2 linked regions of the Stegostoma tigrinum genome follow. The protein of the gene in region 2 purifies or fractionates together with the protein of the main gene of each other region. This does not show direct contact. Links are inferred from orthologs where the notes say so. Each region holds a gene or a part of one and is shown on either strand. Other genes may lie near its edges.

Region 1 (16,909 bases), on a different chromosome or scaffold from region 2:
TCCCACCTAGTCTAGTAGCCTGTATCTCAGTATTGTCCTCAACAACATTGTCGTTTTCTAGAGTGAATACTGTTGAAAAATATTCATTTAGCACTTCCCCTATCTCATCTGACTCCACACACAACTTACCACTACTCTCCTTGATTGGGCCTTTGTCAGTCAGATAGCAGATCAGCCTTAAGGCTTCTGGACGGTAGATTGTTAAAGTTCCTAAAAGGTTTTAGTTTTTAGTTTTAAGTAGCAAGATTCAATGATGGATACACCTCGAAATGAGTTGCTTGATAGGCTAGCATCCCTCTTGAACATAACACGCGCACACACACACACACACACACACACACACACACACACACACACACACACACCCGCCAAGCCCTAGGCAAATATAGGTGGAAGAGTAAGGACTGGGAGTAAACTTGAACGATTGGATTCTAAAAAGACAAGAGGTTTAGTTCAAACACGTTCTCTCAGCATAAGTCAACAAATCCATTGTGTTCTGTGATACCAAGTTTATGCACAATGGGGTAATCATTTATTGGTACAAGAGTATTTACTCATTAGCCAACACTACTGCGGGGGAGGGGGATTCCGATTAGCTTATGGTAGAAAGGATGTGAAAGCACAGACTCACAAGGTTGATAACAAGGATAGGAAACAATGTTCATGAGATGCTATTTGAGATAGTGAGACCAATTCTACTGATGGAGGAAGTTCAAAGATTTCATTTAAGAAAGTAAATAAGAAAAAGCGATTTCCTCTGACTGGGGAGTTAACATCAAAGAGTCACTCATTTTAAACTGTCACTGGGGATAGAAGAGAGGAGTGGAGTGAAGAGAAACTTTTACGCAAGGAGGTTGGGGTGTTGAATAGTGTATCAAAATGGAGTAGTCCAAATGGATAGCCCTTCTATTTTTAAATCAGGACAGCATAAATATTTGAAGTGAATGCTGACAGCAATAGAAGAACAGCAGAGGGAAAGTACTGAATTGTCAGAGACAAGTTCAAGTATGAACACAACAGGCCAAACAGCCATCTTTCCATGCTGTAAACTTTGTAGTTCTGTGAGTGAGAATAATAACATATACATCTATTTTTCCAAATATCCCAGAAAGCTCAACACACATCCGAATCAAACCTGGAATATTCCAGGTCTCCTCAGCACAACTTCATACCTTAACACCATACATGGAAATTGAAAGTTCAAAAAATTCATTGAAAAATGTAAAAAGACTAATCAATAGAATTAATACGATTGTGTAATTAGTGAAAATCAAATAGCATACAGATAAGAAATCAAAGCTTAGTTTTAAGCAAAGAGCACGTCAACATTGCATTTGACAAAGTGGTCATTAATTCCACTTCATCGATATCAACTCTCCATAATAACATCTCCTTCAACCCATCTTCATTAACCTTCTTCATACACTGATTAACTACCCAAATCTTTGTCCAAAGTTATAACAACTTATATTTTCCTGACAGATTTACCAAGTCTAAACAGAGAAAAATAAATTTCGAACATAGAACAGTACAGCACAGAACAGGCCCTTCAGCCCACAATGTTGTGCCGACCATTGATCCTCATGTATGCACCCTCAAATTTCTGGGACCATATACATGTCCAGCAGTCTCTTAAATGACCCCAATGACCTTGCTTCCACAACTGCTGCTGGCAACGCATTCCATGCTCTCACAACTCTCGGCGTAAAGAACCTGCCTCTGACATCCCCTCTATACTTTCCACCAACCAGCTTAAAACTATGAACCCTCGTGCTAGCCATTTCTGCCCTGGGAAATAGTCTCTGGCTATCAACTCTATCTATGCCTCTCATTATCTTGTATACCTCAATTAGGTCCCCTCTCCTCCTCCTTTTCTCCAATGAAAAGAGACCGAGCTCAGTCAACCTCTCTTCATAAGATAAGCCCTCCAGTCCAGGCAGCATCCTGGTAAACCTCCTCTGAACCCTCTCCAAAGCATCCACATCTTTCCTATAATAGGGCGCCCAGAACTGGACGCAGTATTCCAAGTGCGGTCTAACCAAAGTTTTATAGAGCTGCAACAAGATCTCACGACTCTTAAACTCAATCCCCCTGTTAATGAAAGCCAAAACACCATATGCTTTCTTAACAACCCTGTCCACTTGGGTGGCCATTTTAAGGGATCTATGTATCTGCACACCAAGATCCCTCTGTTCCTCCACGCTGCCAAGAATCCTATCCTTAATCCTGTACTCAGCTTTCAAATTCGACCTTCCAAAATGCATCACCTCGCATTTATCCAGGTTGAACTCCATCTGCCACCTCTCAGCCCATCTCTGCATCCTGTCAATGTCCCGCTGCAGCCTACAACAGCCCTCAACACTGTCAACGACACCTCCGACCTTTGTGTCGTCTGCAAACTTGCTGACCCATCCTTCAATCCCCTCATCCAAGTCATTAATAAAAATTACAAATAGTAGAGGCCAAAGGACAGAGCCCTGTGGAACCCCACTCACCACTGACTTCCAGGCAGAATATTTTCCTTCTACTACCACTCGCTGTCTTCTGTTGGCCAGCCAATTCTGTATCCAAGCAGCTAAGTTCCCCTGTATCCCATTCCTCCTGACCTTCTGAATGAGCCTACCATGGGGAACCTTATCAAATGCCTTACTGAAGTCCATATACACCACATCCACAGCTCGACCCTCATCAACGTTTCTAGTCACATCCTCAAAAAACTCGATAAGGTTTGTAAGGCATGACCTACCCCTCACAAAGCCGTGTTGACTGTATTTGATCAAGCCATGCTCTTCCAGATGGTCATAAGTCTTATCCCTCAGAATCCTTTCTAACACCTTGCAGACGACAGACGTGAGACTTACCGGTCTATAATTGCCGGGGATTTCCCTATTTCCTTTCTTGAAGACAGGAATTACATTTGCCTCTCTCCAGTCCTCAGGTACGACTCCAGTGGACAGCGAGGATGCAATGATCTTCGCAAGTGGCGAAGCAATTGCATTTCTCGCTTCCCAAAGCAGCCGAGGACAAATCTGGTCCGGGCCTGGCGACTTGTCAATCTTAATGTTTGACAAAATTTTCAGCACATCAGCTTCCTCTATCTCTATCCATTCCAGCATGCACACCTGCTCTTCAAAGGTTTCATTCACTACAAAGTTGGTTTCTTTCGTAAAGACAGAAGCAAAAAACTCATTTTGGGCTTCCCCTACCTCCTCAGGCTCCACACACAAGTTCCCTATGCTATCCCTGATCGGCCCTACTCTTTCTTTGACCATTCTCTTATTCCTCACGTAAGTGTAAAATGCCTTTGTGTTTTCCCGGATTCCTTCTGCCAAGCCTTTCTCGTGCCCCCTCCTGGCTCTCCTCAGACCATTTTTGAGCTCCTTCCTTGCCTGCATGTAATCCTCTCTAGCTGAACTTGACCCTAGCTTCCTCCACCTTATGTAAGCTACCTTCTTCCTTTTCACTAGAAGCTCCACCGCTCTCGTCATCCAAGGTTCCTTTATCTTACCCCTTCTTGCCTGTCTCAGAGGGACATATTTACTCATCACTCCCAACAACTGTTCCTTAAACAGTCTCCACATGTCTATAGTTCCCTTACCATGGAACAACTGCTCCCAGTCCATGCTTCCTAACTCATGTCTAATCGCATCATAGTTTCCTCTTCCCCAATTAAATATCCTCCCATTTTGCCTAATCCTCTCCTTCTCCATAGCTATGTAGAATGTGAGGCAGTTATGGTCACTATCACCAAAATGCTCTCCCACCACAAGATCTGATACCTGCCCCGGCTCGTTTCCGAGCACCAAGTCTAGAATGGCCTCTCCCCTCGTCGGCCTGTCAACGTACTGCGTTAGGAAACCCTCCTGAACACACCTTACAAAAACAGCTCCATTCAAATCTTCTGCTCGAAGGAGGTTCCAATCAATATTAGGAAAGTTAAAGTCACCCATTACAACAACCCTACTGCGTGCACACTTTTTCAAAATCTGTCGACCTATGCTTTCTTCAATCTCCCTGCTGCTATTGGGGGGGCCTGTAGTAAACCCCTAACGAGGTGACTACTCCCTTGCTGTTCCTAATTTCCACCCATACTGACTCAGTAGGCAGATCTTCCTCGACAATGGAAGCTTCTGAAATCATGAGTTGAACTTCCCCACAAAGAATTGTATGATTTTTTCATGACCACTGGATATCTCAAAGTGCTTTATAGCGCATGAAATGCTCTAAGTGTGATCACTGTTAAAACCAATGTTTAATTCTTGTATTCTAGACTGTAATACCAGGGTTGGTTTAACTCAGTTGGTTGAATGGTTGATTTGCGATTCAGAATAACACCAGAGAGAGTTCAATTCCTGCATCGGATAAAGTGTGGGCTCACCTTCTCAATTTTATGCACCCCCCCACCGTGAGGTGTAGTAACCCACTGGTTAAACATCTTTCTAATGAAAGAGCAGCCCCTAATGTCTGCTAAGACTACGGCGACTTTACCTTTTAGACTAGAGCATACCAAGTCTGAACAGATAAATTAAGCCCAGCAACATGACATGAACAGATTCTTTGACGCCAATCTTTGAAGATGCTAGTTCACTCGTGGCAAGTAACGTGGAATCTACCAATCAAGCGTGCTGCATGTAAAGCCTGACACTCAGGCCCAGTCCTCATCATTTTCCCACAAGACACCAAGATAATTCACCAATCCCTCAATGTTTCAGTCTTGCCTCCAACTGCATCACCAAGTATCAAAATCTTCATCTGCCCTCTGGATATGCAAATCAATTTTAGGAACAAGCATTCGCAGTTTGACATTTGGTTTACAAACTCCCATTCCATGATAAATCAACTAGCTCTGCATCTGCAGAGAAACACATAGGGCATGTTCCCAGGAATTTCCAACCAAAGCCAGCTTCCCTTTCCCAGCAGCACAGACAGGGAGACATGCACTGTTCATATCCACAAAGCCATGTGACAAACAACACATTCAACATGTGCCAGAGAGCTGGTCTACAATCAGATCCACAAGTACAATAAGTTTTTTTTATTAACAGCATCAATAGTGCCAGTTGATCAAATATTCTACATGATCAACAGGTATGTCTAACCACAGTAAACCTTGACCAAGTGAAGTTTCTGGAATAGCAACATCCTCAAAAACCTATACCAAACGCCTTCTAAAACTAAACATAAAACATAGTAAGTGACAAATGCAACGCAGGGGGTACACATAATTTTTATCCTTTATTTATAGCATTAATACTCAAACATCACAATACAGTGCAATTGGAGGTATATATATTTTTGCCAGTTTATCACGAGTGCTAGTTATGACAAAGTTTGCAGTGTTGCAAAAGAACCCTGAAGAACGTCTGCACGTACCACTGCGGACTTCACACTGCTGCAACTCCTAGCAGAGAGAACAACCAATAATTTTCCCCCCAAAATCCAAAGACATACAGGTTAAGAGGATTGGTCATACTAAAAATTGCCCTGTAGTGTCCAGCGATGTGCAGGTTAGGTGGGTTAGCCATGATAAAAATGTGGCATTATGGAGAGGGGAGAAGCTCGGTGTGATGCTCAGGGAAGTTCAACTCATGATCTCTGTCAAAAGGAGAAGTTAGATTTTTTTTCTCTGTTTACATAGGTGCAATTACATCAGATACTTCTTAGACCTGATGTAATTCAAATGTATTCGCTGTGATCATGTAGAACTACAATCAATTGCATGCAAAATCCCACAAACAGCAATAAAGCCTGGACACCTGAAGAACTTCCCTCATTCATAAAAAGCCTGGGGACCTTGTGCATCCATATTAAAGGACTGATGGGACCAAGGTTTAATATTGCACTCAAGACGACACCTTCAACAGTTATGCACTGCAGTATCAAAATAGGCTACATGTTCAAACCTCTAGAGAAATTTCCATACATTGCCTTCTGACTTAAGTCGGAAAGACTGTGTGGATTTACAAACTGTTTGTGAAGCAACTGTAGAGAGGAAAGCACAAGGACAGGTACAGCTGGTTGTTTTCAGCATGTATATGTAAATTATTGCTGGGTTTTCAAATGTTGTTGTTGTGAGACAACATGTAATAAGAAAAGATGTCAAAGAGGCACTCAGCACTGACACTTCTCACAATAACAATCCAGTCATGCGTCTTTTATAAGCTTATATGGTTTCAACCAGCAATTTGGTCATGTTTCAATTGTTCCTTTTATTATATGTCTCCTTCTGTAGTGGTGCATCTCAAGCACCATGAGCTGCATTGTTCTTTATTAAATTGCTGACACTTGTCAATCACAACCAGCAATTAAACTACTCAACAGCTTGATGCTCTCAGTTTAATTTACTGATGCCCGCACAAGAGGGTATAGTTCCACAGATATCTACCTCAAGATACTTGGTTGTTAAATTCAATCCCATCCCACCTAGGTATCCACAGCTACTGTCAGAAACCACAGCGGGGAGAAACCCCTTTAAATTCCTCCCCACTTCTTGCAGAGGGACAAGAGAGTTAATTACATTGTTCAATGCATCAGTCTAACTCCAACAAGCAACTACACTGCAATCCAATCTGTATAGCTAAGCATCAAACCCTACTTATTCACAGAAAGACACAGGTCAGGCAAGTCCCTTTCCAAGGAAACACTGCCAGTGTGTCTGCATATGAACAACTTCTCACTTTTCTTCACAAGCCCACCCAAAACCACCTTGAAAAAGAGAGCTCAGATCCTTGCTACACTGGACGAAGTCAGCAGTGGCTGACACTTTAAACAAAAGTACCAATTCCAGCATTATACAAGGGGCAAAATAAGAGGCATTTTTTGAAGTTGAGTCGTCACTTCTAAAATACAATGCCAGTCAGTGAAGTGTCTTGCTGACCCATTGCATGTCTTCAAGGAGGACCGGATCACTCCCTAACTGGCCCAAAAATCACATCATGGGTGGCAAATGTAACATGCTGCCCCACAGATGTCCACGACTGGCTTCAATTACTCAAGGAATTGAGTCTTTTCCCTCTTGAGGGAAGTGTTAGGTTTTGATTATCCAGCCATACTGAGATATGAGGCAGGTTCGATAGAAATATTGCTGTTTCTCTGACCATTCCTGAGGAATAATCCCAAAGACAATGCACCTTATAAAAATTGATGAATTTGGTTCAATACAAGACATTAGCACTGAAAATGGAAGACACACTCAAAAGTAAACAGTTTGCTCCCTTCACACCCTAGCAAGTTATCCCAAAACTGCTCTATTGCAAAATTTACCAAAACTGACTCTCTCAGCCAGTTTGCTAACCCATATAAATGTGAAGTTGTGGTTACACAAAACTTCCAACGAAACTGAACGCACAGAACATCCTAACCACCGCCCAATAGTGAAACTGAAGCGCACAGCAATTCCTGTACTACCCACGCAATTCTGTCATGGTGCTCACCTCCATCCTGCAAGTCAACCCTCTACCAAACTACCTCGCTCTCCTTCTATACTCCAAGCCCAACTGTCCCTTCCTACACTCCTTGCATCCGCCCATTCTTGTTGCCCAGAACCATTAATTTATTTCAAACCCTAGTGCCTCCCCTCAGCTTCCAGATCATCCTGCTCCCTACGCTGGGGTTGACTCATTCACAAACACTTCTTTTTACCTTCCATCTCCTGCCTGCATGTTTCTCTAAGCCTCCTGTCCATCCCATTTTCTAAACCCGACCCCCTTGACGTGCTCCTGCCCATCTTCAATCCGATTTTTTCTCCTGGCCGCCACCAAACTCTGTTCTACCTCCCTCCGGTACATTCATCCTCCTCGCCCGCAGATTCTGGGACGTTTTCCCCCCTCCTGCAGTTCGTGCTGGGAGCCGCAGGGAGAGGCGATGATCTGATGGAAACGCATTCGGCTCTCCGGCAGGACGTGCGGCCTGTGCCGGAGCCCTTGGCAGGACCACAGCCCCCCTCCTCCACCCAGCCCCGAGATCTCAAGCCCGCTCCCCGAGATTCACTCACCATCAGCTCAATACTTTTATCTTCGATCACTGAATCCGCCTCCATCGTGAACCACATACAAGGAGAATGCAGAGCTCTGGCTTCACCCCCCCGCCCCCCCCGCACTCGGCCCGGTCCAAACCCAAAGCCTGACGACAAGCGTCTGACGAAATCACGCCGCGCCCCTTGGTTTGTAACGTCATCCGTATCTGACGTCACGCGTTCCACGCGACCCCCTTCAATCGTCAGGAAACGCCACTGCAGGCCCCGCCCACTGACTCGGAACAAATTACTACAGAGGCTGGAGCTTGTGTTGAGAATGACAAAGTTCTGCAGGTCACAGCGGGTCAGGCAGCAGCTATGGAGGGAGATGCAGGCTGAAGCTTCCAGTCTAGACGATTCGTCATTAAAGCTGAAGTGAAGGGTGGCAGCATTTGTGCAACAGTGGGGAGAGGGCTGTGGGTGTGGAAAAGATGTTGATAGCCCAGATTAAGTGATTGGAATTCACGAATGGCTGAACAATGGTGTGTCTAACCGCCAGACTTGAAAGGCAAAACTGTCCCACAGGGGTGGCCAGAGGCGAGAGAGGTCATGTTGACAAAGAATGTAACAAGTAAAGCTAAACAAAACGGAAGAAATTGGAGTTGGTTCACAATTTGAAGGTGTTGGACTCAATACCAAGCCCAGAAGGCTGTAAATTGCCTAGTTTGAAGATGAGATGTTGTTCCTCTGGTTTGCATTGATTCACTGGAGCACTACAGCATGCTGAGGACAGAAAAGTATGCATGCAAACAGGACATGGGAAGGTGGTGATCATGTTTGCTTACAGACTGGAAATATTCTGCGAAGTGGTCACGCAGAATGCATTTGGTTTCTCCAATGTAAAGTGGGTGTTAATACACAATGCAATACACAAGATTGTAGCAGGTACTGTTGAAACGCTGCTTCACCTGGAAAAACTGTTTAGGATCTTGGATGGTGAGCAGGTAGTATGCGAAGGGGCAAGTGTGGCACCTTGTGCAGTTACACGGGAAGGTGCCTTTTGAAGGGTGTGTGGTGTTGGTGGTAGGAATGGACTAAGGTCTTCGCCAGTCTCTCCACTGCAGACTGGGACTGATTTGTCGAACACCTCCAGTCTGTACACAGTGCCTGCATGCTCGCTTGTCTACCCTCAGGACACTACAGTGTTCCGATGAATCGCAGCACAAACTGGAGGAACGACATCTCATCCTCAGACGAGGCACATTACAGGCTTCCGGACTTAATATTGAGTTCAAAGCCTTAAAATTGTGAGCCAGTTTCCGTTTTTTCCCTTGTAGCTTTACTTTTTACAATCGCCCATTTTTTCCATTTTGTTTATCTTGTCACATTCTGTCACCATGTTCTCTCTCCTCTTCCCCCACCCAAGTGGGACTGGCTTCTCTTTCAACTCGGGCAGTGAGACACACTATTGTTCTGCCTTTCTCACATTTCGATCATTCTCGACTAGCACTCTACACCCACCATCCCCACACCCTCCACCCTTCGCTACAGCTCTGATGAAGAGTCATCTGGACTGGAAACATTAGCTTGGATGCCGCCTGGACCAGTTGTGATCCCGAGTCTTTGGTTGTTTCCGCCCACTGACTGATCACTTCTCCATCAGGACCCGCCCCCTCACTGTTGACGTCCATTGCAGTACCACGCCCCCATATGTGGCCGCGCCCACAAATGCCCCGCCTTACATAATGGGCGGGGTTTCAGTAACACCGTCCACGGAAGGATGATTTCCCCATTAGCTCAACCCTCTCCCTTGCCGTGTCCAACAAAAGGTCACGAACTTTCATTACGTCACGCCCCCACTGTCGAAACCGAAACCTTCAGTCAACCTCCGCCCATACAATCAACCACGCCTATTCCGAGGGGCGGGGCAGCGGGGGGGGGCGGGAAGGTGAGGACTTTCGATGGGATACGAGATTGGGAATGAGAAAGATGAGGCTGGGATGGTGAGGGAATGGGACAGGGTGTAACCGGAGCTCAGAAAGGGACCGGTTGGGGAGGGAGGGTGAGGAGTGGGAATGTGGGAGAGACGGGGTTGGGTTGGCAAGGAGTTAGGGAGGTGTGCGGAGTGACGGGGTTGGGTTGACAAGGGGTAAGGGAGGTGTGCGGAGTGGAAAGGATGGGTAGGGCATAGGAAAGGGAAAAAGGATGGGAAAGGAAAAGGGATGAGAAGGGGAAGAGATGAGGTGCGGGTGTGGAATGGGGATAGGATGGGATAGGGAAGGGGATGGGGAGGGGATTGGCATAGGGGTGGGGATGGTGAGGGGAAGGGAATTGGCATAGGGGTGGGAATGGTGAGGGGAAGGGGTAGCGATGGGGATGGGAGGGGTTGGGGATGGGATGGGGAAGGGATGGGGAGGAACTGGGGATGGGGAAGAGATGGGGATGTGGAAGGGATGGAGAAAAGATGGGGATGGGGAAGGAATGCAAAGGGGATGGAGAAGGGATGGGATGGGGAGGGAATGGGGATGGGAAGGATAGGGATGTGGATGATGATGGGAAGGGGTGGGCGAAGGGGTTGGGGTACGGTGGGGTGGGGAAGGGGTGGAGATGGGATGGGGTGGGGATAGGGAGGGTATGGGATGGGATTGGGGAGGGAATGGGGATGGGCAGGGGATGGGGATGGGGAAGAGATGGGGATCTGGAAGGGATGGAGAGAAGATGGGGATTGGGGAGAGGATGGGGAAGGAATGTGGAGGGGAAGGGGATGCAGAAGGGAAAGGATGGGGAGGGGATAGGGGAGGGATGGGGATGGGAAGGATAGAGATGTGGATGATGATGGAAAGGGGATGGGGAAGGGGTGAGCAAAGGGGTTGGGGTGCAGATGGAGAAGGGGTGGAGATGGGGTGGGGATGGGGAGGGTATTGGGATAGAGGTGGGAGTGGGTGTGGGGAGAGGGGTGAGGAGGGGAAGGGGTTGGGATAGGGAGGGGATTGGGATGGGGAAGGGGATGGGGATGAGGAAGAGATGGGGATCTGGAAGGGATGGAGAGAAGATGAGGTTGTGGAAGGGATGGGGAGAGGATGGGGATTGGGAGGGGATGGAATGGAGATGGGGTAGGGATGCAGATAGGGGAGGGGATGGGGTGGTGATGGGGAGTGGATGGGGAACAGGGTAGGGGTGAGGATGGGGATTGGGAGGGGATGGAATGGAGATGGGGTGGGGATGCAGATAGGGGAGGGGATAGGGTGGTGTTGGGGAGGTGATTGGCCGGGGGGGGTGGAATGGGGATGGTGAAGCGATGGGGATTGGAGGGGCTGGGGGTGGGATGGGGAAGGGGATGGGGAGGGACTGGGGATGAGGAAGAGATGGGGATCTGGAAGGGATGGAGAGAAGATGAGGATGTGGAAGGGATGGGGATTGGGAGGGGATGGAATGGAGATGGGGAAGGGATGGATAGGGGATGGGTGTAGGGGAGGGGATGGGATGAGGATGGCAAGTGGATGGGGATTGGGAGGGGATGGAATGGAGATGGGGTGGGGATGGGGTGGCGAATGGGTTAGGGGAGGGGATGGGGGTAGGGCAAGGGATGGGATGGGGAATGGGATACGGGAAGCGATGGGGAGCAGATGGGAAAGGGATGGGCATGGGGAGGAGGATGGGGAAGGGGATATGGATGAGGGGATGGGATAGAGATGGGGAAGGAGATAGGGATGGGTGAGGGGAGGGGTTGGGAATGGTGAGGAGGGAATGGGAGGGATTGGGGATGGCGGGTATTGAGGATGGGGAGGGGATGGGAATGGGGAAAGGATGGAGTGGGGGAAGGGATGAAGGAGGGGATGGGAAGGGAATGGGGAAGGGATGGATAGGGGATAAGAAAGGGGAATGGATGGGTAGGGGATAGGAAAGGAGGAGGGATCGTGCAAGAGGAGGCAATAGGAAAGGGACCGGGATAGTGAGAGGTCAAGAAGGGGGCCAGGAAAGGGAAAGAGATGGTGAGGGGTCAGGAAGTGGATCAGGAAAGGGAAGGGACGGCGAGGGGTCGGGAAGAGGGCAGGGCTGGTGAGGGATCGAGAAGTTGGCTGGGAAAAGGGAAGCATTGTGGAGAGAGCCAGGAAGGAATGGGGAGGGGTTGGGAAGGAGGCCAGGAATGGGGAAGGGATGGGGTGAATTTGAGGAGTTTGGGAATGGGGGCAGATTTGTGTTGGGATGAGAATGGGGCGGTGATGAGGAGAGGGTGGGAGCGGTTGCGAGTGAAGAAGACATGAGTCAAAGTTGTGGGGGAGCTGGAGAGTTTGGGGACAGTGACAGATTGTGATTGGGAAGAGATGGGGAAAGGTTTAAAAGGGTTTGGGAATTGGGGGTGGAGCTAGGTTGGGGAGAGGTTGCCTTTGAGGCTGGAGCATCCCTAATTGGAAAATGAGATGTTGTCTTTGAGTTTGTGCTAAGGCTTGTTAGTGCTCTGCAGCAGGCCCAAGACAGAAATGTTGCCATGGGAACATGGCAATGTGTAAAAGCAGCAGGCAACAGGAAGTTCAGAATCATTTTTGCAGACCAAGTGTCACAGTTCTACGAAGTAATCACCCAGCCTGTGTCTACATCTCCCCAATTTAGACGAGCCCACATTATCAGCAGTGGATACAGTAGACTAGATTGAGTGAAGTGCAGATAAGCTGCTGCTTCATCTAGGAGGCATGTCAGGGATCTTGGAGGGGAAGGAAAGAGGAGGAGGTAAATGGGCAGGTGTGACACATTTTGCGATTGCATGGGAAGATGTGTGGAAATGTTTGGAGTAGAGGAGGACTTGACCAGAGTATCCCAAAGGGAATGATCCTGCTGAACGCTGACAAGAGAGGGGAGGGTTTTGATTGTGACATCCCAGTGGAGGTGACAGAAGTGGCGGTTCACATCCTTTGAATGTGGAGACTGATGGGATGGTAAGTAAGGACCAAGGAGACCCTGTCATTGTGGAAACCTAATAAGTTTTGCAGCAATTTCTGTTTGTCATGGGAGACAAGGGAATGGGTGAGGGCAGAAATGTAGGCGGTGTATCAAACACGGCTAAGGGCTGTCTGAACTACGGTAGTGGCGAATCCTCGGTTGAGGAGAAGGGTGGATGTATCTGAGGCTCCACCCCCTGCAGAAGGTCTTTTCTCTTTTCCACACAGCCAACCCATTTTCACCTAGTTATGGTCTCCGTTATCAGCTTTTCTTTCTCCCTGACTCACCATTATCCATCTCTTTTTCTGCCTGTCCTCTCCCTCTTAGCTCCATCTCAACCTACTATATACTCCTAACAACCCCTATCCCCAATCTTCAGCAAGGGTTACTGGGCTCAAAATGGTATCACAGCTTTCTCTCCATAGCTGCTGCCAGACCTGCTGAGTTTCCCAGCAACTTCTGTTTTCATTTCAGCTTTGCAGCAGTTCTTTGTTTTATTTTTGTCTTTTAAGCTGGAACAGCATTTAATGCACATCCTTCATTACCCTTGAGAAGGTTTGTTTCCACACTGTAGGGATTCTATGATGATTCTATGAAGTTACTGAAGATTAAAATGCAAGTGCAGAAAGCTGTCAGGAATGCTAGTGGAATGTTAGCCTTTAACATGAAAGGATTTGAGTCCAGTAGAAATGAAGTTTTGCTTCAATTGTGAATAAGATTGGTTAGACTACACCTAGAGTACAGTGTGCAGTTTTGATCTCCTGAGCTCAGGAAAAATATTATTGCCACAGAGGTAGTGCAACAAAATTTCTTCAGACTTGTTCCTGGGATAGTGGGAACATCCAGTGAAGGGAGATTCAGTAAACTGGGCCTGTATTCTCCAAACTTTCGAAGAATGACAGGTGATTTGAAGAATGACAAAATACTTAAAGGGATAGACAGGATAGGTACAGATAAATGTTTCCCTAATGGTGGAACCTAAAACCAGATACACTATAAATAAAGGAGATGCCATTTACGTCCGAGATGAGGAGTAAAGTGTTGTAAAGTAAACTTAAAGGGTTGTAAACCTTTGGAATTCTGTAACAGAGGCCTGTGAAGGTTTAGCCTTTGAGTCTGTTTCAGATAGAGGATTGATAGATTTGATTACCAGTGGTGTACAGGTTTATGAGGATGTGGTGGATTTAAGGCATTGAAGTGTTCAATCAGGTATTATCTTAATGACTGACAGAGCAAGTTTCATAGAACTATAGAAACTATACAGTGTAGAAGGTGGCCATTTAGCCCATTTTGTCCATTCCAACTCAAAGCCGCTCTTTCTAATCTCATCTTCCTGAACACAGCCCATAGCCCTACGGTGTTATGGCCTTTAAGGTGCAGATCCAAGTACTTTCTAAGAGTTTTGGGGCTCAATCCCCACCATCAGTTCAGACAATGAATTCCAGTCATCTATGACTCTCTGTGTAAAAATATTTTTCTTCACATTCTCACTAATCCTTCTGCCACTTAGCTTGAACCTATGGCTCCTGATTTTTGAACTCACTGCCAAAGGAATTTGTCTATTCTATCCCTCACTATTTTGTATACTTCAATCATGTCACCCCTCAGCTGCCTTTGGTCCAAGGAAAACAGTCCAAACTTCTCCTCATACCTACAATTCTCCAGCCATGGTACCATTCTAGTAAGTTTTCTCTACACTTTCTCCACAGCAGTTGTGCCCTTCTTGTAATGTAGTGACCAAAACTGCACATAATACTCCAGCTGTAGCCTCACCAGTGTCTTATACAATTCCATTATTATTATCCTACTTGTAGCTCTATCAATGAATGAGGGCATTCCACATGCCTTCTTTACAACCTGATTTACCTGTACTGTTACATATAGGGACCTGTGCACTGGAAAACCAAGATCACTCACTTCATCTACCCATCTCATGATATTCCTGTTTATTATATATTCCCTTTTATTGTTTGACCTCACTAAATGCATTACCTCACACTTATTAGAGTTGAACTCCATCTGCCATGTTCTTGCCCACTCCACCAACTGATCTGTATCATTTTGGAGCGTACAGCTATCCTCTACACTCTTCATTACACAGCCAATTTGTCATACGTAAATTTCCGAAATGTGCCCCCTATTTTCACATACAAATTGTTAATGCATGTTTGGGGCTGTATGATGGCTTAGTGGTTATCACTGCTGCCTCACAGTGCCAGGGACCCACGCTTAATTCCACCCTCAGGTGACTGTCTATGTGGAGTTTGCACATTTTTCCCGTGTGTGTATGGGTTTCCTCCAGGTGCTCCGGTTTCCTCCCACAGTCCAAAGATGTGCAGGTTCGGTGGATTGGCCATGCTAAATTGCCCATAGTGTTCAGGGATGTGTAGCTTAGGTGTGTTATAGGGAGGTGGGTCTGGCTGAGATGGTCAGTGTGGACTTGTTGGGCCAAAGGGCCTGTTTCTGCACTGTAGGGATTTTATGATCTAAATTTTTTTAAAAAAGCAGGGGTCCCAAATCTGAGCCCTGTGGTAAATCACTTGAAATTGTTCTTAATTCACAAGGGCAGCCATGGACCAATGTGTTTTGTTTCCTGTTACTAAGCCAACTTTGAATCTACTTCAACACACTACCTTATATCCTTTAGGCTTTCACTGTTTTGACCAGTGTACCATGTGGGACTTTGTCCAATGCTTTACTAATATCCAAGTATACAAATCCATTGCACTACCCTCATCAATCCTCCCTGTCACTTCCTCAAAGAATTCAATCAGTCTTGTAAGGCATGACCTTCCCTTAACAAAGCTCTGCCTTTCTATGTCAAGTTCATCAGGTCCCTCAGGATTGATTCTAACAGATTTCTCACCACCCAAGTAAAACTAACTGACCTGTAATTGTTTGGCATTTCCTTTGTACCCTTTTTATAAAACAGAACCAAATTTGTACTCCTCTAGTCCTCCTGCACTTCACCTGTGTCGAGGGAAGATTGGAAAAATAATTCTCAGAACATTTGCTATTTCCTCCCTGACATCTTTCAATATCCAATGGAACAATCCATCCTGTCCTGACGATTTAGCGACTTTCAAGGTTTCCAACTCCTAACATTTCCTCTCGTGTTATGATTATTTTGTTCAATATTTCACACTGCCCCTCTTGGATTACTGTACCCTAATCACCCCTTTTCTTTTTGAATATGGAGACAAAAAAATCATTTAAATTTCTTCCCAAGTTCTCAGCATCTTAACACAAGTGCCCTTCCTCATCTACGACAGTTCCCAATTTTCCCGTAACTATTCTTTTGCTCTTTATGTACTGTTCAAACATTTTCAGGTTTTCTTTTAGCTTAATTGCTGATTTTTTTTTCATGTCCTGTCTTCTGATTTCTCTTTTTTTTAAACTTAATTCCTCACTTTCTCTAGTCTGAGGCTATCTGCAGTGTTGAGTTTTTTTTGTGACTATCACAAGCTTGCTTTCTCTGTTTAATGTTGCTTGTATTTTTCTAGACAACCATGGAGGGTCTAGATTTGGCAGTATCATTCTTATTTTGGGGGTTTTGTTTCCTTTGTACCTCAAGGATCTCACTAATTAGTGCCTCCCACTGGTTTACCACAAATTTATTTTTTAGCAGTCTTGTCCGATCACCTCAGCCAAATCACTTAAATTTATAAACTTGTCTTCTAAGACTTTTACTCCTGATTTATCTGTACTTTTCAATAATAATACTAAATCTAACCAAATTGTGATCACTATCCCTGACATGGTCAACCTCTGTTATTTCGCACCACTTGCCCACCTTCATTCCCCAAAACTAATTCCAGAATTGCATCTTGTCTTTGGACTGGTCACATGTCGTTTAAAGGAAGTTCCTGGTCACATTGCATGAATGTTTTTACCCTTCATGCCCCTTATGTTCTTTGAAACCCAGCTGATACTGGGATAATTAAAGTCCCCTACTATTATTGCCTCTTACATGCAGAAATTTGTTTCCATGCATGTTCTTCTATTTCCCTGATTTTG
Region 2 (16,966 bases):
ACAAACAAGCATGGATAAAGTGCATCACTGTTGTCACAATGCTGCACCAAAACATGTTGCTTTTGTTTCAATATTATTGCTGATGAAGACTAATACAAATGGAGGCAAGGAACACAAAGAGTATCAAACCTGAGGAAAAAGACTGAGCAGTCTAAAATCCAAAACTGATTCAAGGGTAAACAAATAATCCTCTATCAGTGCCCAAAGTAATTTCAGCAAATATGTTAAGACTAACTGCATAGTAGTAAGTATATTGTATAAACTAGTTAACTATGACATGAAAAACGTTGAAATCTGTTGTCACCTAACAACTAATCATCAAGATTGCATCCCATGATTTGTATGAATTTCAAAATATCCCTTCCAAAGGTATACCAAAGTACTCAGCAAAACTACGTCATAAGCATCTTCAAAGATAAGGTCGTCTTGGGGGATGCACAACAAACATTATGACAACATATATACAATGTGTGGACATAAACTTGTGAAAGAATATATGCCTTGAAATAAAGCAATTATGTACAATACTTACAATAATTCTGGAAGTGTCTATGTAGCTCTTATTGAAGTGTTTTAAAGCAACTTGTGCTTCCTCTTCTGTTTTGAAGCCAACAAATCCAAACTTTCGAAATTTTCCATCTTTTGTGAACTTCAATGCGCAGTCTGTTAATGTTCCAAAAGCACCAAATAGCGTCTTAAAACGTTCATCCTTCATCTGGGAAATGAAAAAGTAACACAAACAACCAGAAGTCAAGTTAAGACATGTCTTTGGACATGACTCTAGTCCTAGATTATTTCACACAGAAATTGCTGTATTATTGTGTAGATGCCAGACCTCTCAGATAGGTAAACTTGGGGGTTAGGTGACATTACGATAATTGACAGTCCAGTATTGCTTTCAATCACTCCATGCTCAGTGCAATGAAGTCAGAGTAGTGCATCCAATCAGTTCAGTATATGTAAAAGTAACAGGTCAGTAAGCACCGAAATCAGAATGTACAATGATATAGCAATGTAAATAAATGTTTTTAATAAACGGCAAGACATCTGCCTCAACAGGAATCCAGTCTTAGTGAGCACACAGTGTGGAGCTGAAGAAGTGTCCTGACCTGAAACGTCAGCTTTCCTGCTCTTCTAATGCTGCCTGGCCTGCTGCATTCCTCCAGCTCCACGCTGTGTTATCTCTGACTCCAGCATTGGCAGTTCTTACTATCCCAGTCATTGTGATATTTGTTTGAGTTAATAAACCGAGAAACACTCAGATCATATCTTACTGGCAGTGATGCTTAACCCATCAAAGTGTGACATGGTGACAGCAAGTGGGCATTAGAACTGGTGGCAGCTAACAGCAACAGTAGTGCAGCTAGCTGATGACAACAGCATTGACAGTTGTGAAGACTTCTTTCCCCAAATAGTCATGACTGATCATTCACCAGTCTACAACAGCCACCAAACTAAAGGCTGTACTGAAGCACATCAACCACAATGGAGAAACAGTTCTGAGTACATTGACTCACTTTAGAAAAAAAACAGGAGGCCAAGGTTTGTCGAATATAAATAATGGCAGTTTGCAGGAGGCTCAGGACATTCCCAAATTGGCAATGCACCCCAAAACAACATGCAGCCTAAAGCATTGAAAAAAAAATTACGTATATTGTTGAGGACTTACCTACATGTGGTTGCCAGTCAACAGCACCATTTTATTTCCCACAAAAGACAAAGCAAAATGCCACATACAAGCACTGCTCAAATATTTCTTTCAAAAGAAAGAAATAGAAAGCAGGTAACCTTAAAGCACCAACAAGAGAACAAAACAGCCGGAAGCCAACTAAACAAAGCAGGGAAAGAAAGATAGATAGTAAATACGTGGGGATAAACTGACACACCACTGACATTTTGTCAGAATTTCAGTTCAAGAAGGAATAAATCTTTATTTTCCTGATCAACAAATCACTATTAAAGAAAGACAACTTAAAAGATTGAGTCAATTTCAAGATGTACAATCCTTCCAGACAAACCAAAAGAATATGCCATGGGCACAGAGCTAGAAGAAGAACGCATATTCAAAGCAATTGCTGTAAGTCAGCAACATGCTTGACTTTATAGCACCTACTGTAGCTATCAAACTCAGTACTCCTTTAGGAGATGTGACTTGTCTTGCCCTCCAAAACATTGTCAGACATTTTGTGACATATAAAAGATATGTTCTACAAGAAGAGGTTGGACTGAACTGTGCAACACAAAGCTCCACAGCAGCGTATGAAGAGTCAAAGAAGGAACAGTATCATCAACATTCCTTACAAGGGACACCTGAATCTTTTTTTGCCAGATTCACAACAGGACTATGATTAGTCTACAAGAATGCATAGATTGATGTATTATTACAATCCATGAGCTAATAAACATGTCTATTACAATACAAAAGATGCTAAACCACAACATTGAGTCCCTCCATCACGATCACCTGACTAACCTTTCCCCGGACAGTTTAACATTATTAGCAACAAAGATAATGCCTAACACATCATCTATCGTCCCTTTAAATGCAGCAGTCACAGTCAATTAAAGTTCAAACTGGAAGTGGACTCCATTATACAAAATGACATTATCCAGAGGTTGAGCATCATACTGGCTGACATAACCTTAATTTCTTGTGCTCTGAACAATGAGCATTGTAGAGATATGTTCAGATCCAAATCAAATAAATATCAGCGCCAATTACATTTCCAAATCAACACAAAGGGACATTAGCTCAGACACAGGGACAGCACAGTGGCTCAGTGGTTAACACCGCTGCCTCACAGCACCAGGGGCCTGGGTTCGATTCCACTCTCAGGCAACTGTCTATGGAGTTTGCACATTCTCCCCACCTCTGCATGGGTTTTCTCTAGGTGCTCAGGTTGCCTCCCACAGTCCAAAGATGTACAGGCTAGATGGATTGAACACACTGAATTGCCCATTGTGCCCAAAGATGTGCAGGCCAGGTGAATTAGCCATCGAAAATCCTGGGTTACAAGGATAGCAGAGGGGGGGTGGGATGCTGTTCAAGAGGGTCAGTATGGACTTGATGAACTGAATGGTCTGGTTCCACACTGTAGGGAATCTATGATTTTTTAAAATCTTTCACCAAAGTCACAGGGACTGAAAACTTTTAAAGAACATCTCTCACTAGACATCATTTCCTCAGATTACCCTCAACCAGGTTATGTGAATAATATCACCAAGAACCCACCAAGTTTTCACTTTATCACAGAACACTCTGCAATCCTCAGAAAAACTAAACATGCAAATGATATAAATGTCCTTCAGCTCATGACACTGGCAAGAAATTAGTACTTTTTCTAAAAGTACATAAAATATAAAATATGCATAAACAAAGTTGATTTCTTCAGTTCAATCTACTTATCAAATGGCATTAGAATGTTGCCGCCAAAATTGAAGATATACAGAACATCTTCACACCACAAGACAAAGATGATTTACAATGGGATCTCAGTTTCTTCAATTTTGATTCACCGTTATTCCAAATTTTGCAACCATATCTCCTCTTCGAGACCTTCTCGGCAAAAACTTACCACACGTGACAGGAAGACCACTAGTCCATTTTTCAATCTCTCAAAAGTGTTCTTCAGTATTATGTTCCTTCAATATTTACCACATCAGAAGTAGATATATCCAATAAAGGTACCAGAGCATATCTATCACGGGATTGGAACCAAATGTAGTAGGTTTTCAATGTTTTAACATCAGCTCAGGCAAATTACTTCAGCAGTGAAAGAGAAACTCTTGTTCTAGTTTTTTGGAATATGACAGTTTCACAGACAACTACTGAATAAGTATTTTGTTGTTCACGCCAACCACAAACTGTTAGAAATTACCTGTCAAAATGAAGTACAGCTTCAGTGATTACTTGTCACAGACCAATTTTGAACTACAACACAAACCAGACTTCCAAATGACTAGCTTGGTACTCTTAGCTGACCTTCCAAGTCCGTCTAAGAACACAGATATTCCTTTTGACATACAAGTGAATACTATCGAATCTATGCTAGAACATTCCCTCAACAGCAATTCCAATCATTTTGGTCATAACCAAGCAAAACAGATTCGGCAAGCTATAATCAGATGATGATCGAGCTGCAACTTCATCAGCACCAGGTGGGCCTGAACCCATCCAACAAGTTCTTAGGGGAAAAGGTTCATTCTGGTGATAGAGATAAATTAGGACCCTCCATGAATATAATTTTTAACAATAATAAGCAGCAATTCAAATAATGTCAAGACACGCAAAACTATACAAAACATCACATGAGCACACAAAAACAACTAAGTGAATGATGCATAAATTCATTTAGTGGGCCACCATTAATAAAGACTGATCAACTAATCAAGTTGAGTGAAATATACCAACATTATTAACCCCAACTATAGAGAGAACCTATCATCCCATGTAAAATTCCCTATATGCCATGGTGTAAGCCTGCCTGTCAAATATTTTAGATGTCCAAAGACACTTTTACATTCTGTTAAATGAATATTTGACCGAATTTTATATGACAAAAGATGATACCAGCGCAATGATTTTTACACATTGACTGTGATATTCAGCATGCTCAGTGTTCATAAACAAATTGTGTCTGACAGCAATCCGCATTTCACCAGTGCATCCTTACAAGTGCTGGAAATGACTTGTCCATCATCTACCTCTTCTCTTCACTACCCTCAGCCAAACAGTCTTGCAGAATGCACTGCACACAGAAAAATCTATGATTGTCCACGGCATTTTGGCACTTTGCCAAAATTTTCAGATGACCATACCAAGAATATATTTTACCCAAGGAAACAATTTACCCAAGGAAGCAAGTTACCCACACTGATAGCTCTAACAGTTGGAAGGCAAATTCACACAATTCCTCTCTCTCAAAATTTCACCCCCCCCAACCAAAACGGAACAAGAACATGATCAATGAAAATGCAGACAGTTATCCCAATATGAACGAGCACACAGCAAAAGATAAGACTTTCATATGGACGCATGGGTTCTCAGAACATCACCAAGGTCACATGGCATTTTAACAAGAAATAGTCCAATCCTACCAAGAGACAAGCAACATATTCAAACTGCATACAACAAACCACGTATCAAACAGGATAACAATTTGGATGGTGAAAATATCATGCCAGCCAACAATCATGCTTTACAATAGATAATGTGATGGGAGATAACATAAGCCAGGTTATAATAACTGCATGAGAACTAAATCTAGTCATGTCATCCATCCAACAAGGCTAACCTGAATGTGTAGTGACAATGTATCTATGCCCATTCCTATACAGGTTTGGAAAAGCAGTCCCATTCTTTAAAGGGAAAAGGGAGATGCTGTATTAAAGCATAAATTCCAGACCAGGCGAGCATTTAAGACAGTTACATGACATTACAAGTCTGGACTGGAAGTTGTACTGGGTCACTCCATGTTCAATGCAACTGGAATCAGAGCTGTGCATTCAGTTAGTTACTCGTGCACAGGAGTCAGTAAGCAGAAACACTCCAGATTATATATAGACTTCTGGCTCAGAAGTAGGGGCACTACTACTGCATCAGAAGATCTGTCTTTATGACACACATTACTTACGAAAATATACTGAGAAGCACTCAGACCTTAATAATAGCAGTGGTATCTGACCCAAGATAGTATGCTAGAAAGCATACATAGCAATTATTCAGACATTTAGTTCATTCAGAGCAGAACAAATGATTGAATAACTATATTATTGATTATACAATAAATTATACTTCATTATCTTTCAGGACCAAGATATCTTATTCATAACTTATGAAAAGTCAATCCTTATGGATATAAAGTTTAATCCGGGGAATGCAGCCTGGTTTAGACATTCTGCAACAGCACTGGAAAAGGATTCAAAGGCAGAATACAGGGGTAACCAGAAGACTTGTAACTTTGAATTGCTGGAGAAACTCAGCAGGTCAGGCAACATCTGTGGAGAGAAGATAATAAAGTGTGAAGCTGGATGAACACAGCAGGTCAGGCAGCATCTCAGGAGCACAAAAGCTGATGTTTCGGGCCTAGATCCTTTATCAGAGAAGGGGATGGGGTGAGGGTTCTGGAATAAATAGGGGGAGAGGGGGAGGCGGACCGAAGATGGAGAGTAAAGAAGATGGGGGAGAGGAGAGTACAGGTGGGGAGGTAGGGAGGGGATAGGTCCGTCCAAGGAAGACAGACAGGTCAAGGAGGTGGGATGAGATTAGTAGCTAGGAAATGGAGGTGCGGCTTGGGGTGGGAGGAAGGGATGGGTGAGAGGAAGAACAGGTTAGGGAGGCAGAGACAGGCTGGGCTGGTTTTGGGATGCAGTGTGGGGGGGGGAGAGGTGGGCTGGTTTTGTGGTGCAGTGGGGGGAGGGGACGAACTGGGCTGGTTTTGGGATGTGGTGGGGGAAGGGGAGATTTTGAAGTTGGTGAAGTCCACATTGATACCATTGGGCTGCAGGGTTCCCAAGCAGAATATGAGTTGCTGTTCCTGCACCCTTCGGGTGGCATCATTGTGGCACTGCAGGAGGCCCATGATGGACATGTCATCTAAAGAATGGGAGGGGGAGTTGAAATGGTTCGCGACTGGGAGGTCCAGTTGTTTATTGCGAACCGAGCGGAGGTGTTCTGCAAAGCGGTCTCCAAGCCTCCGCTTGGTTTCCTCAATGTAGAGGAAGCCACACCGGGTACAATGAATACAGTATACCACATTGGCAGATGTGCAGGTGAACCTCTGCTTAATATGGAAAGTTATCTTGGGGCCTGGAATAGTGGTGAGGAAGGAGGCGTGGGGGCAAGTGTAGCACTTCCTGCGGTTGCAGGGGAAGGTGCTGGGTGTGGTGGGCTTGGAGGGCAGTGTGGAGCGAACAAGGGAGTCATGGAGAGAGTGGTCTCTCCGGAAAGCAGACAAGGGTGGGGATGGAAAAATGTCTTGGGTGGTGGGGTCGGATTGTAGATGGCGGAAGTGTCGGAGGATGATGCGTTGTATCCGGAGGTTGGTCCGCCTCCCTCTCTCTCCCTATTTATTCCAGAACCCTCTCCCCATCCCCCTCTCTGATGAAGGGTCTAGGCCCGAAACGTCAGCTTTTGTGCTCCTGAGATGCTGCTTGGCCTGCTGTGTTCATCCAGCTCCACACTTTGTTATCTTGGATTCTCCAGCATCTGCAGTTCCCATTATCACTTGTGGAGAGAAGGCAGAGTTAAGAGTTACGAGTCCAGGTATCAGAAGGCTTGCTTGAATGAGGACAGCAGCATATTTACAACAAATCGGGGAGAAAGCACAGCAAACCGAAACAAAAACAAATCTGCAACAAGTCCGACAGCATCACTGCACAAGAAAGCAGGGTTAACGTTACGGGGCCAGCGATCCTTCTGCAGAACCTGCTGGGCAAGTTGAGGACCTGTGTTGGAGACGGACTGCCACAGTGCTCCTGAGATGCTGCTGGGCCTGCTGTGTTCATCCAGCCTCACATTTTACTGCCACAGTCCCTGGCCGGATTAAAGGTGGAGCAGGGGAACCTAATCGCGTTCCAACAGCACGCCGTGTGTGGAAGAGATGCCACAACATGACAGCGTACAGAGCTATCTCTGCTCCTCCACGTTGTTGTTGTTGTTGTTGGGATCGGGGATTCGGACAGAGGAAGGGGGGGGGGGGTTAACAAAGTGGACACGAGATACCCCTCCAGCACGCTCCCCCCACCCGGCCTCTTGGACTTACCCCGCTCGGCAGGTTCTTCACAATGAGCCGGGACATCTCGCAGCCCGCTTTCCCTCCCCGGGTCCTAGCGCTGTCACCCCTCCCGCCCTCTCCCGTCCTTGGCCACGGGCTCCCTGTAACGGTCACACTCGCCGCGAGTCCGGGATTCTGGGCCCAACACGCGATTGCCTGCTCCCAGAATCCCTTGCGGGGGCACGACGGCAAGCAGCGGCGGACTAAATTCTCCGGGCGCAATCTTCACTTCAAAACGGGCAAAGAGCTGACTCGCTCCTACAGGAGCAGTGATTCCAAAGCGTGTGAGCGGGGTGTTTTCTGGATGGGTTTCCAGCAGAATACTGCCCTGGAACCAAATGAGGGAACGTTACATTGAAGCAAAATGGTGCCAGAAATCTGAAATAAAAACACAAAGTACTGGAGAAGCTCAGCAGTTCTGGCAGCATCAGCGCAGAGTCCAAGATAATGTCTTCATTAGATCTCTTCACAAATGCTGCCAGACCGGCTAAATGTTGTCTTAAGCTCAGTAATAAGCCAGATTTAGTTAACAACCTAAAACAAAGTTAAATTTAGTTAACAGTCTCACTGAGTGTGAATGCTTATCTAGTTGCCATAACGTGATCAAGTTGGTGTGGTGATTGACAGGGAAGGCAAATCAAGAGGTTATTTATTGATTCGTGTAAATTTGACTTAATGAAGATTAAACCAAAACTGTAAATTAAACCATGCGTGTAAGTCGATGAATAATTCCAAAATCCATACAATATGATTTTTTTAAAATGAAAAGAACACCGTTTATACACCTAAGGAACAATGACTCTATACTTGCCTAAAACAAAAGCCATGGATGATTTATGGGGTAAAAGGCCACATAAAGTTATTTCCACACGGACAATGCAATGACTAGCACAAATCCTGGAAACATTTTGTTTCAAATCTATTCCTTCAAATAGACATTAGTAGGTTGGCTACCAAATTCCATCAGATGTTTGATTTACAAAGCACTAGAGTTGACACCAAGCTAGTTATTGTGCAAAACAATATTGAGTTGAAAGACAGATCAAAGGACAGCGATTTTTGGGGCCTGGTAAACAGAGTAAAATACCAGTTCCTAATATCCTATGCTTGTAATGTTGAAGCTTACTTTGGCTCCATGTACATCTGTGAGACAATGTTCCTCCAATCAAATATAATCAAGTCCTTAAGCCATAGGAACAGAAATTAGGCAATTTGGCCCATTGAGCTGCACTACCATTCAATCATGGCTGATGCATTTCTCAACCCCATCCTCCTGCTTTCTCCCAAAACCCTTGATCCCCTTGACAATCAAGAACCTATCTGTATCTGTCTTAAATGTACTCAATGACTTGCCTCCACAGCCTTCTGTGGCAATGAATTCTATAGAATCACCATGCTCTGGAGAAGACGTTTCTCTTTATTTTCGTTGCAAACTGTCTTCCCTTTACTCTAAGTCTGTAGCCTCAGGCCCCAGTCTCTCCTGCCAATGGAAGCATCCTCCCAACATGTACTATGACTCGGCCGTTTAGTATTCTGTAAGTTTCAATTAGATTCCCCCTTCATCCTTCTAAACTCCATCGAGTATAGGCCCAGAGCCTTCAAATGTTCCTCATAACTGTCTTTCCTGCTAGGCTCCTCTCCCAGTCAGTTCTGGTCAGCTCTTCCATCATTCTTCTGTAGTTGTCTTTATTCAATGTAATACCATTACATCTAATTCCATTTTCTCCCCCTCAAATTGCAGAGTAAATTGTATCATATTATGGTCACTGCCTCCTAAGGGTTCCTTTACCTTAAGCTCCCTTATCAAGTCTGCCTCATTGCACAACACTAAATCCAGAATTGTCTGTTCCTTAGTGGGGTCCACCACAAGTTGCTCCAAAAAGCCCTATTATAGACATTCCACAAATTCCTTTTCTTACAATCCACTGCAAACCTGATTTTCTCAGCCTCCTGCATAATGAAATCCCCCATGATCACTGTAACCTTGCCTTTCTTGCATGTTTTTTCTATGTCCTGCTCTATTTTGTGCCCCAAAAGTCCATGAATCATGCCTGCCTCACAGTTACTATTTCATGGACTGTATATGACTAGCAGTCTCAAACTATAAACCAGACTTCAAGGCACTGGTAGATAATATGCAGTCAAGGGTGTAATGCCAAGATTTGTGGAGTAAAGGACAAAATGAATAATAATGTATGTTTGATTTTAAATTTATACTGTACTAAGAATGGAAGATGAGAGACTGCTGCCTTAGGTTTTAAACAGTGAAGTTCGTGTCTTGCTAATGAGATCCTTATGAAACCTTTTTCCATGCATTTACGTGTCATTACTAGCACAACCTGCTTTATTTCTACACAGCTTCCAAATATGCCCCCCCCCCCCCCCCCCCCCCGGCTCTATCAAGCTACATGGCACCAATACTCAAGTCAGATCAGTAACCTAGAGACAAGTAGCTCACTTCCTGTTTCTCTGGGCCTTATCCAGCTCTGTCTGTGCCACAGTATCCCTGGATGTTCGAAGGATATCTCCCTCTTCCAACCTTCATCCAAGCAAGTTGGCAACAACAAACTAACATCCTCACCATTGCATTGTACCTACTTTCATACCTACTCAGAATCCCAATTAGGATTTCAGTTTGGGGCTATGGATCACTTCTGCCAGGCCTCTCAGTGTGCAGGAACACACGCTTATGCATCTACACAGGATGCTTCCAATCGCTCTAAGCTTCAGCTCTTAGTGGTCACGCACGTTGTGTTTGTTTGGAGGCCATCAACCTTGGGAACTTGCATTTCTTTTAGGGAGAGGCAGGAGTTTTTCATGGCTCAGATCAATGAACAGCCAAGGGGTTAGATATAAATGACATCATTATGCTACATTAATTTCACACTACAACATTGTCAGAAACTTATTCCGCAAATACACTACCTGCTCTTCAAACAGCCATATGTGAAGGTCACAAAGGAGCTGGCCTTAGTGAGGTTAAGGGTGACTATGGTCAGTAAGGGTTTACTGCCATAGTCGGTGAACGGGATCATCTGATTGCAGTTCAGAGGGTTAGCAATGGTCAGACCTATAGTTCAGGAACAACCAATCAGGAATTACACGTCAATCAATCCAGCACAGTGGAGTCGTCAGTCCAGGTTATGGGCCAATGTTTCCTGCTTTAAGTATTGGATAAGGCTGAAGATAACAGGAACTGACAAGAATTGATAAGAGGCTGAACCATGGTCTATTATGTGAATTTTTTTTCTCTATTCATTTGTGGGATGTGGCTGCCGCTGACTGACCAGCATTTCTTGCCCATCCCTAGGTGCCTGTTGGAAGGTGGTGGTGAGCTGCCTTCTTGAATCGCTGCAGACCTCCTGCTGCAGGTTGACCCACAATGCTATTAGGGAGGGAATTCCAGGATTTTGAGCCAGCGACAGTGAAGGAGTGGCGATATATTTCCAAATCAGGATGGTGAGTGACTTGGAGGGGAGCTTAGAGGTGGCAGTGTTCCCATATGGCTGATGCTTTCGTCCTTCTAGATGAAAGTGGGCTTGGCCATGTGAATGGAATCATACTGAGTCAGTCAGGCCTGCGAAGAGTTAAAACTGCAGGAAGTCAGGAACTGCTGTCTCTACCAGATAAGACATGCATTTGGACAAAACATTCAGAATTGGTCTTGTGCACACATAATTCTGATTAAGGCACACACTTGGCACAGAGATTCGTATATAAAAAGCCTGAGGAAATCCTTTTGTTCAACAACACTTCAAAGGTTAATGTTGTGCAAGAAGTACCCTACTTCGAGCAGAGTTTCAGCCCGGCATGCTACGAACTCTCCTGGATAAGAATGATTGGGTTTCGTTACAGAAATCAGGGTAGTGAAAGACAGTGATTGAGATATCTCTAGTAGTTAAAAGTGTGTGTTATTCATTTAGATACCTAATAAATGAATTGTAGTTTTGTAGAGTTCTAGGTGTCTCCGCTGTATCTTCTTCTCTGTATGTATTATTATCTCACAGAGACGGGCAACATAATTTTGGCGTACCTCTGGGAATTGACAAGAAGTAACTTTAAGTTACGCTGACACCCTGCCTGAGCCTGAAATTAAGAGGACGGTTGTCTCACGTTAGGTCTAAAACTAAGTGGGTGCTGGGAAGGAGGAGGTCGAAATTTAGTAGTGAGAAATACAAAAGGATCAGCAGACACACTAAGAAACTTAGCGCTAACAGAGAATGATGGGTCCAGGGAACTCTGACTGGAGAAGACTTCTTCAACAATATGGGGCTGGGGAGTGGCAAGTACTGTGAGTATACCATTAAGACTGGTATGGAAATTGGAACCTGTGGGGATACTGTCTGGAGTATGGCAAAAGATGACAGAGAGAAAAGGAACTTTGAGAAAGAGCAGAAAGCTGCAGCAGTAGTTTGTATGTTGGAAGATTGGGAAGAAAAGCAATAGCAACCAAAGGTAGCCGAACTTAAAGAAGAGATGAAGAGACTGACTGTGAAGGTTGGGAATTTACAAAGCCAGAGAGGTGGAGACCTCATGCATATAAACCAGTATCAAATGCAGTGTGAGAAATTAATGAGGCAAAAGGAGAAAAATGAAGAGGAAACTAAAATGGCTCACATGCAGACAGAAGAGTTAAAGAGACAATGTAGCTGGGAATGTAGTGCATAAGTCAGGACAGGAGCAAAAAGGGACCTCGGGCAATCACACAAAGTATATAAAGCAGATGGAGAGGTTATACAGTCAGATTTCTGAGCAAAGAGGGATAATATTTGCATTTGCAACCCCACTCTTTGAGGAGGAAGATGGTGGCATCAACTTGGGAAGGCTAGCAGAGTAAGTGGCCAGATATGGAGAGGAGGACCCAGGGGAATGGGGTCCCCTCTGGAAAGAGGGCCAGAAGTAAGGTCTGTTGCCCCTAAGGCCCACCCCGATCTCTAAAGGACAACAGCCAGCAGTGCCAGGTGTGCAACCGCAACAGCCGACATTACATATACCAGCCCCTAATAATGTTCAACAGCTCGGAGCTATGGCCATGTGTATACGCAATTGTCAGCCTGGGGATGACCCCCGAGAGCAGTTCCAAGTTACCCACAATCCAACTGAGGCCACAAGTGGGTTGTGCTCCAACACACAATGACAGTAGGCCTCTCCTATATGGATGTGCGATGCAAAAGGGGGTGGACAGGGAGACCCTTAGTCAACGGTATGGTAGGAGGGTCGGCCTATCACTTTCCTTTGGGACACGGGGGATCACCCTGAACACAGCTATTGAAAATCATCATGATTGGAAAATACAAACAGAGGTAATCTTGAGTGATCTTACAGGACATTCTCAAGTAGGACAAGTGACAAACCCTTTAAATATACAAATAGGAACTGCAGAGATAATGCATCTAATATTATTAATGAAACTCCCAGCAAATCAAGAGCATATCCCATGAAGTGATTATATGGCTAGAGCATCACTGTGCTTTGATTCAGTGAACTGAATGATGTGGCAAATGCCAGGAGTAAGTGAGGAGCAGTTTTTTTTTGCTGAAATTCCTGCAGGAAGGTGTGTACAGTGGGAGAAATGTGAATCTGTCCTGCTGACATGAGTGAGGACCTGATAGTACAAGGAATTTTTGGGCAAAACCAGGAAGTGTTTGCCAAATGTAAGGATGACTGTGGACAGATACAAGGGGAACTGTGTATGCAGGGCTCAGATCCAAAGCCCCGAAAGCAGTATGGATTCCCCAAGCAGGCTGAAACTGATATACAAAAAGGTAGTGCAAAGTCTGGTAGCACAAGGGGCATTAAGGTAAGTCACCTGTACAAATAATTCACCTATTTGGCTAGTAAAGTAACTGGAATGAGTTGATGGCTGACTATTGATTGTCGAGGACTAAATAAGGTAAAGCCCTTAATAGGTTCCTTGTGGCTATTAGCCCCAAAACCATGATTAAACAGAATGAATCTGCACAGTGGTTTACGGTGCTGGATATAAGTAATGGATTTTGATTAATCCCTTTTTCCAAGGAGCATTAGTATAAATTTGCATTTACCTCAAAGGGAAAGCGATATATGTGGACTGTTTTGCCATGGGATTTCACAACTCTCCATTAATACTTCATCAAGGCTTAAGCAATGAGTTGTGGGTTTTTCTAGGCAAGACTGCCTGAAATAGTATGTTGATGGTTTGCTTTTGCCAACGGGAACCAAACAGGAGCATTACCAGCTCCTGAGTAAGCTATTGCAATTATTAAAGGAGTTTGGGTTAAAAGTGAATCCAAACAAGGCTCAGATAATGAGGCAGGAAGTGAGTTACTTAGGAGTGGTGTTAACACCAGGAAAAAGAGAGATAGACAAACAAACAATTGAAATGGCAGCTAGACCTCCTATCCCTACAGATGTGAAGGGATGAAGATCATGTTGGGCTTGATTGGGTATTGTAGAGACCATATTGATGGTTTTGCTAAAGGCAGCACCACTAATGGTGTTACTGAAGAAAAATACCCCAAGGAAATTGAAGCCAGGTCACCTGCAAGCAATAATAGTTTTGAAATAGGGTTTGGTGAGTGCTGCTGCCCTAAAAACCCCAAATACAGCTGAACCATTCTCCATGAAGGTGGTTGCAACAGACTCCATAACATCAGAGATCTTATTACTAGAGGTGCATGATCAGTTGAGATCGGTAGCCTCTGCCTAGCACAAGATCACGGCAGTAGAACAGGGATACACGGCATCTGTTGGCAGTATTCTGGGTGGTATGACATTTTACTTACATTGTAGTGTTGAATCCGTTGACAATTTTGAAGTTCCGTCCAGGAAAAGATGAGGATAAGTAATAGCTCAGAAATATTAGGATCAAGAAAAGGCAGGTAGGACAGGATTCATTCATTTGTCATTTGTTTTGATATTATGTGTATCTTTCAATATGTGAAAGGTGTATAACAATGTATTTGTGATGAAACAAGACTGATTTGTAACTTTTTAAAATGTTTATGACTATAGTTTTGTTAAGTACAATGATCTAAGTGGCATTTCAGATAACACAACTGAAGTAATGCTTTATTGAGAACACAATGCTGTGAGGATGTAATGCTTACCACTGTCTGGAGTTGCCCTGGAGGATGTAGAAAACCCAACAGAGATGATCCTCATATTAATCTTTCGATCGAAAGTGTGGAGATGTTGGATAAGACTGGAGATAACTGGAGCCGATAAGAGGCTTAACAATAGTCTGTTATGTGAATGGAATTACGAGTCAGTCATGTCTGCTAACAGTTAAAACTGCAGGAAATCAGGAACTGCTGTCTTTACCAGATAAGACATACATTTGGACAAAACGTTCAGGATTGATCACATGAACATATAATTCCAAATAAGGCACACACTTGGCATGGAGACTTGTGTGTAAAGCGCCTGAAGAAATGCCTTTGTTCAAACATTTTGAAGATTAATGTTGTGCAAGAAGTACCTTATGTCAGGAGGTGTGGTGAAGATATTGAGAAGAGTTTCAGCCTGGCCAGCTGCGAACTCTCCCGGGTAGTAATGTTTGGGTTTAGTCACAGAAATCGGAGTAGTGAAAGACAGTGATTGAGGATATCTCTAGTAGCTAAAAGTGTGTGTTATTCATTTAGGTACTTAATAAATTAATTGTGGTTTTATAGAGATCTGCTGTATCTTTGCCCATGTATGTAATGTCTCTCAGAGACAGGCAACATGAGACAAAGAGAGAGACCTAGTATGATGACTGTGGATGGAGGAGCCATTAGACGTAGAACGTAGGGCAAGGTGTTCCCATGACAGAGGGCCGGAAGGGTTAGTATTTTGGGAGGATGAGTGGGTCAAAGCCATTGAATGGACATTACATGTACAGTAGTGAGAATTGTAGCCCATATGTTTAGTGAGATGACTGTGCAGTAGAAGAGTTAGAGTCAGTGGTGGCCTGTGAGCAAGAGAGAGCAGAGAGAAGATGGTTGTATTTACCTTTGCAAAGCGCAGATTAATTTACCTGGCACCATGCACTGGCCCAGGCTGCTATCTCAGCCTAGGCTGGCTAGGACTGTTGGTGTGGCCTTCTTTGCCAATTTTCAGGAAAAAAAATGCAAGACTTCCTTCCACCGTACAATGTAGCAGCTATCAGTGAACCGAGGCACTAACTTGCATTTCTGGATCGTGTCCATGGTTATAATGTTGGAGCATTCGAGTGTTAAGACCACCTCATGGCTTGCAGCATGAGAAGTGATGTGGAACTGAAATTTAAATATGACAGTAACAGTGTGTGCTTTGAAAGTCCTAACAGCAGTAAGAACATCTACCTCTCCTGCCACTAGATTCCCCAAATCGGTGAAAACAAGTTGTATAATTACCGGGAAGAAGGGCAGATGATTGTGTGAGAAAAGTTAACACGGGCCATGGGGAACTGAGCACATGAGTCTCACTCAATGAAAAACTTTGTCAAAAAATGGGAAAATTCTGCCCACAGTAATTGAATATCTTGAAAATGTTCTGCTCATCATGAGAGGGCCAATGTGGGTCATACCAAAAGAGCCTGTTTGATTTCATTGAAGAGCTGACTGAGCTATTGAATAGCGTGTGTCTATGACTATTATTTATGTTGGTTTCCAGAAAACATTTGGGAAAGTTCTACATGAGACTTATCTAAAGTTGAAGCTCATAGTCTTGAAGGAACATTATTGGAAATCGGATAAGTAACAAGATTTTAAGGGCAGGAATAATGGGCAGGTGTTCCAGTCATATTTAAAGTGTGAATTTTCTGCGGCACTTTGCTTAGACATGGGCAGATAATTGACTCTATGTGAAAGTTTCACCTCTTTCTAGCTGGCTCTCAGTGTCCATGTCTTCTGCTCTGCATAAGGGCAGTTGATTAAGAGAAGGCAGTTGATGTGTTTCGGTGTTGGTGTTGATGTGGTTGTGTTATTCCTCTAGTTTTTAATCAGTAGTCCAAAGTAGAGCTGCATCAGCTGTTCCCGTGCCAATGTGGAACTTGATAGTGAGGAAGAGCAGCTCCATGTAATTAAAGTGCTGGACAGTGAAAATCTTTCCAAGAAGGGGGACATCGCCCATAAAGCTGTAGGAACACACTCTTCGGGAGTGCTCTATGCAGCCAAATCTCAGTTGGTCATGGTCTGAGTTCTTCTGTTTCACTAACTAAAGTCTTACCAATCTGTCAGTTTCACTGAAGA

What was found.
Region 1: the proteins of rbm19 (region 2) and F-box/WD repeat-containing protein 11 purify together in Homo sapiens (affinity purification with mass spectrometry; 3 studies listed by BioGRID and IntAct, with this or other methods). This does not show direct contact. The link is inferred for Stegostoma tigrinum from reciprocal best matches to the Homo sapiens genes RBM19 and FBXW11.

What each region holds. Positions count from the first base shown.
Region 1 is NC_081366.1:65,878,359-65,895,267, reverse strand, and holds the start of F-box/WD repeat-containing protein 11, read right to left. Parts: upstream 8,121-16,909; 5' UTR 8,051-8,120; coding exon 7,994-8,050; intron 7,793-7,993; exon of another isoform or gene 7,788-7,792; coding exon of another isoform or gene 7,773-7,787; intron 1-7,772.
Region 2 is NC_081379.1:31,371,363-31,388,328, forward strand, and holds the start of rbm19 (probable RNA-binding protein 19), read right to left. Parts: upstream 7,934-16,966; 5' UTR 7,800-7,933; coding exon 7,764-7,799; intron 716-7,763; coding exon 533-715; intron 1-532. UniProt on the Homo sapiens protein: Plays a role in embryo pre-implantation development.